Kluyveromyces lactis: one gene and its partner. Each later gene encodes a partner of the first gene's protein in a complex. Links are inferred from orthologs where the notes say so. Each region holds a gene or a part of one and is shown on either strand. Other genes may lie near its edges.

Region 1 (2,657 bases):
AGGTGGGATCCGCCTTCACCGGTTCAATTATTTCTGTTTTAATTGTCTGAATCATGGTTTTGTATTTAGTAAAAGTTTCTTCGATTAACTTGAAATTTGTAGATTCTTTGGACTGTTTAAGTTTATTCCTCTCCAGTTGTTCTTGTTCTTGCTTCTTTTTCAGGGCTTCTACTCTCTTCGCTTCTTCAGCTTTCTTCTCCTTTTCTGCCATTTCTTGAATCTTCCGTTTCTCTTCCTCCTTCAACTTCTTTTCCATCTCCTTTTTATGCTTCAATTCTTCTTGTCTGCGCTTCTCCGCTTCGCATTCTTTCTGGATACGTGCTTCCTCTTCCCTCTTCTTTTTATCCTTTATGCTTTTAATTAAACGTTGATTCACCTTTTCAATTGAATCAATTTCCTCATTCCACACAGATTCAAGCACCTGGTCTTGCATAGGAAAGGTGTGTTGTTCCACCTCGTCAATCAAATCCTTCTTCTCTTGGTAATAAAGTTCTGCTTCGTCAATAAGAACAGGGCCTAAAGCTTTATTCTCGTGACCTCTCGTTGTAAGATGCGGTAGTGCATTCCTTTCAAGAGTGATATTTAAGTTGGAAAGCATTGAAACTATTTCTGGTTCTACCACATCCTCTAAAGAAATTGTATCTCCTGAACTAAACCCTTGCTCTTCACCTTGGCCGTCATTCTTTGAAGAATGGTATAATTTCGGTAGTTTTAACTGGATCCCATCAGATGGATCGCCAATATACGTAAACTCCCCGTCTAATTCATAGTCAGAATCACTGCTGCTGGTATTCTGACTCTGTTTCCGTTCAGCATTCTCGTACAATTCGTCAAATGAGAACCTCATCTCAATTGTCCTGATATGTGTCAATCGCTTTCTTTACTTTATCAAATCGGTAAAAAGCTCAATTCAAGTAAACGATTCGGGGTTAAGTTCGACTGTTATTACCTAAATGGAGAATCCAGCTACGTGTCTTTAAGTACGGGATCAAAAAAAAACGGCTGCAATGCATCAACACAAGGGCTGAAAGGTCAACACTCTCTATAATCATCAACTGAGCTCTACCTGGTTTTTAATCAAATTTCACTTTTTGTTGATTCTTGTCACGTGACGTATATTGAATTCTCTGTACTTGAAAGTTTTAAAAATTTTTCGACCTTTCGAGCTAAAGCTGTAAGATAATGATAGAGATTTGATCAGTTTCACTCGATTTAAAGCAGTATTCCTTCCCATTCGTAGGTTTATACATTCATTCGTTCGCATCTGTGAGAAGATACCAAGTGATAATGCAAGTGGTACGTGGTTTCCACAGTAGTTCAAAGGTCTCCAAAGCTGCTTGTGCTTTGGTTAAGCCAGTGCATCATTTGGTTAAGATCGACAAGAGCAAGCTATCCCCAAGGTTTCCTGAATTGAAATATAGTAAAAACGATATTAGATCTCCAGCATTCAAGCCTGTTGTTACACATCAAGACCGTGTTCGTGAGCATTATTATAATACTTTACAAAGCGATTTATTATTGATAAATTATTCCCACAAAAGCCAAACGAAGCTCGGGTTGAAGCAAAGAGAATGGGACGGTTCTTCTCCATATCACATTAACAGAGAACCCAGAAAACCTAAGGGCTCAAGTGCTCAATTGCCAGATATTCATCCAGTAACGTGGAAGAACATTCCAGACATCGAGTCCGTTGTTATTAACTGTTACGTCAGAGATGCAAAAGAGAACCAATATCTACCAATTTCAGCAGCATTACAATTGCAACAAATTACCGGGTGTAAACCAAAGGCTTTGTTCTCTAGGAATGATGTTCCGGCCTGGAAGGTCAGAAGAGGTACCCAAATGGGTGCTGTCATTACATTGAAAGGTCGTCCAATGTCTCAGTTCTTATCCACTTTGACTGAAATTGTACTACCAAGAATCAGAGAATACAAAGGTATCTCCAACAAGTCAGGTAACAGATTTGGTGGGTTATCATTTGGTATGACCAGCGATGAAGTCAGATTTTTCCCAGAGATTGATGCTAATCAAGATCTTTGGCCAGTAACTTTTGGTATGCACATCAACATCAACACAACTGCCCAAACTGACGTACAGGCTAGAACTTTGGTCAGTGGATTCGGTTTTCCTTTCAACGGTTCGGAAAAGATCAATTAATGCTCCCAAGTAGTTTTTATCCTGTCTTTCGTCCTGTAAATAACACTCACTAATAGGATAAAAAAATTATCAGCATTATATGTATATGACTACCTTTATACAAATGTCGACGTCTCTTAATGTACACTTATATGTAATAGATTTCAATAAGTAAAAAGTGGCATATATATTGCATTACAGGTAATTGGTGAGATCAAAGTCTTCAAATTATTAACCTCAAACACGATCAACACTAACGATATTCATAGTTCTTCCCATTCTGGTAATATTGTCACCATTGGTTAAAGCTAACCCTTGGGTCTTTGAACGAATACGGATTTCACCAACAATTTCTTGTGTGATTGGATCCTTCTCTATGCACAGGTTAGCCAAAGCGTCCTCGCCAAATGTAGATCTAGAATATAAGTTACAACTTAGGAATCTGGAATCATTGTCGCCGAGTGCCTCTTCAGGGGTTAGAACCTTCATATGTGTAACTTCCACCAACTTCTCTAAATAAC
Region 2 (2,581 bases), about 290 kb from region 1:
GTGTAAGTCAAAATAGGGAGAAAAGATTGGATAATAATGGAAACGAAATCAGTGATTCGCAAATCGTTAGTCCGTTTGGAGAAACTATGGATCAACCAGACCTAACACAACCTCCTGTACGTCCGACAATGGGAAATCCTAGATTCAGCAATGGTTCTTTACCAGATGTAACTCAACAAAGGCGACCGCTAAGAATCGCCAATCCAGATGAGCTGGATGATGAGGATACAGAATTCAATTCGATCATCGAAAATCTCAGGGGAGATTGATCCTGATACAATATAACATCATCTTTTTAACACATTTCGCTAAGATAATAGCATGATATACCCAATATCATCCCCTTGTTGTTGTCAAACAAAACAAACGCCAAAAGGAAATATTCCAAATATAAAACATCAACTAAGGCCCACAATAAGCCATGTTCCATACTCACTACTGATACTTGATACCCCTAATGAAAACTATCAACTGAGGATCAGTTAATTGTCTAACACTATAAACAAGACAAGTCACAAAATATATCGAAACGATTTATGTTATACTGATAAGTTGGGCTTTCACATATGTACATATATAACGTTATAATACTCATTTAATTTCTTCACATTTTACTTCAAGGTATCTTTATAATGGTTAATTGTCATGTTTACTGTCGGGAATTATTGTGCTACATTTTCATCTAGGGTAATTGTTTAAGGGATCCAAAAAAATGCTTCCAACCAGAGTCGAACTGATGATCTCCACATTACTAGTGTGGCGCCTTACCAACTTGGCCATAGAAGCTGTTTCTTGTCATAAAAAGAATTTACCACTATATACTCCTACGAGATTATTGCCTGCTACCAATTCTTTTCTGGTGGACCTAACCTATTTTGAACTGAGGAATACGCAGTTTATAATGTTACAGCTACATTTTTGAAAAACGTGATGCTAAAATAATAGTAGGTTTACTGAAATAGTTTCGGCTGTTTCAATTTGTCAATCTGCTAGGCGCATCTAAACACTTACATCAGCATTGCATACCCTCTTATCGTCTCCAAGCTCCCTCTGTGTCCTAGCGAATCTCAGCATTTTAAAAGGTTACCCGAATACCTAATTTCGAAAATTTTTTAGAATGAATATGGTTAACTTACAAGAAATTACTGGAGATGATTTGGATATTCAATGAATCTACTGGATATCTACTATTATCGATATTTAATAGCCCTATCTCGAGGTCTCACAATACTAGCACGATGTTTTCGATCAACAAAGTGGTGAATCCCTTTGGATCACTTATACAGAGATCATTTGTACGCCAAATCACGATCCTTGGTGGTTTAAAACCTGGTGAAGGCTCTAAGAAGAACTACAAAAGATTGGGTAGAGGTCCATCCAGTGGCAAAGGTAAGACTGCTGGTAGAGGTCAAAAGGGTCAAAAGGCCCGTGGTTATGTAAAATCATGGTTTGAAGGTGGTCAAACCCCAATCTTCAAATTGTTCCCAAAGCTAGGGTTCACCAACGTAACATCACTAAAATTGAAAGAATTAAACCTTGATAGAATAACGTGGTTCCACCAAAAGGGTCGCCTACATTTGGAGCCAGGTGAAACCTTGACGATGAAAAAGATGAAAGAAATCGGTTTGGTTACCGGCCCGATCAAAGATGGTATTAAGATTCTAGGTGATGGTAAATTCTCTTATAATCTTCCAATCAAGATTGAAGCTACTAGAGCTTCACAGGATGCAATTGAGGCAATCGAACATGCAGGCGGAAGTTTCACTGCTCGTTATTTCAACCGTCTTGGTCTAAGAGCCCATTTATCACCACATTGGTTCCTAGAAAAGTACGGAAGAGTTCCTCTACAAGCTAGACCCACAAAGAGGAAGGATATTGAATATTACTGTAACGAAGAAAAGAGAGGTTATTTGATTATGGAAAATGACCCATACTATCAACTTTTGCAGAAATCCAAAGATGAAGGCGGTAAAAATTTGGTTGCTCGGAAGACCAAGAAGTCCAAGCTTGAGTTGCAATTAGAGCAACTTGAGAACGATTTTGCTCCTGCTTCTCCAAATTCTGAAATTAAATCAAACTGAACATCATATAGCAATATAGAAATGCCCTGTATATAATACACATCATTCAACGCCATTTCTCCAGATTTATACACCATATCAATCAAATTGATATCTGTATTCACAAGTTGTAGCAACTTTTGTCTATTTAATGCTCTAAAGTCTAAAAATATAAGAATGAGCTTGTCTCACTTTTACACATCGTTTTGTGGAGTAGAAGACTCTGTGTTTTTGTTGTCCAACAATCTTTCTTCGAGAACCTGTAGGGCTAACTTTTTCCTTCTTTCTTCCGCTTCAGAGCCTTCAACAGGCTTAGCACCCCTCTTTTGAGCCAAAATGTTAGCTTGTTCGATATCGTATACTCTAAACGGAGTTGCAATACGCCAATCAACAATAAACTTCTGGTAAAGGTAATCAAATATTGGCTCAAGTACTGGTTTGACTAAATCCGGGAAGAAATATATCAATTGGAATGTCTCAGAGGCATCTCCTACCACTTCAAATTCAGCATCCTCAGCCAT

What was found. The genes of interacting proteins can lie anywhere in the genome.
Region 2: MRPL7 (region 1) and MRPL10 share a complex: the UniProt entries of both Schizosaccharomyces pombe proteins name them as parts of the mitochondrial large ribosomal subunit. The link is inferred for Kluyveromyces lactis from reciprocal best matches to the Schizosaccharomyces pombe genes mrpl7 and mrpl10.

What each region holds. Positions count from the first base shown.
Region 1 is NC_006039.1:1,326,639-1,329,295, forward strand, and holds MRPL7 (mitochondrial 54S ribosomal protein uL5m), read left to right. Parts: upstream 1-1,287; coding exon 1,288-2,157; downstream 2,158-2,657. Other genes in the region: nucleoporin GLE1, read right to left, coding at 1-847; SEC26 (coatomer subunit beta), read right to left, coding at 2,374-2,657. UniProt on the Schizosaccharomyces pombe protein: Component of the mitochondrial ribosome (mitoribosome), a dedicated translation machinery responsible for the synthesis of mitochondrial genome-encoded proteins, including at least some of the essential transmembrane subunits of the mitochondrial respiratory chain.
Region 2 is NC_006039.1:1,033,445-1,036,025, reverse strand, and holds MRPL10 (mitochondrial 54S ribosomal protein uL15m), read left to right. Parts: upstream 1-1,151; coding exon 1,152-2,081; downstream 2,082-2,581. Other genes in the region: WSC2 (Wsc2p), read left to right, coding at 1-269; KLLA0_C12111g (uncharacterized protein), read right to left, coding at 2,255-2,581. UniProt on the Schizosaccharomyces pombe protein: Component of the mitochondrial ribosome (mitoribosome), a dedicated translation machinery responsible for the synthesis of mitochondrial genome-encoded proteins, including at least some of the essential transmembrane subunits of the mitochondrial respiratory chain.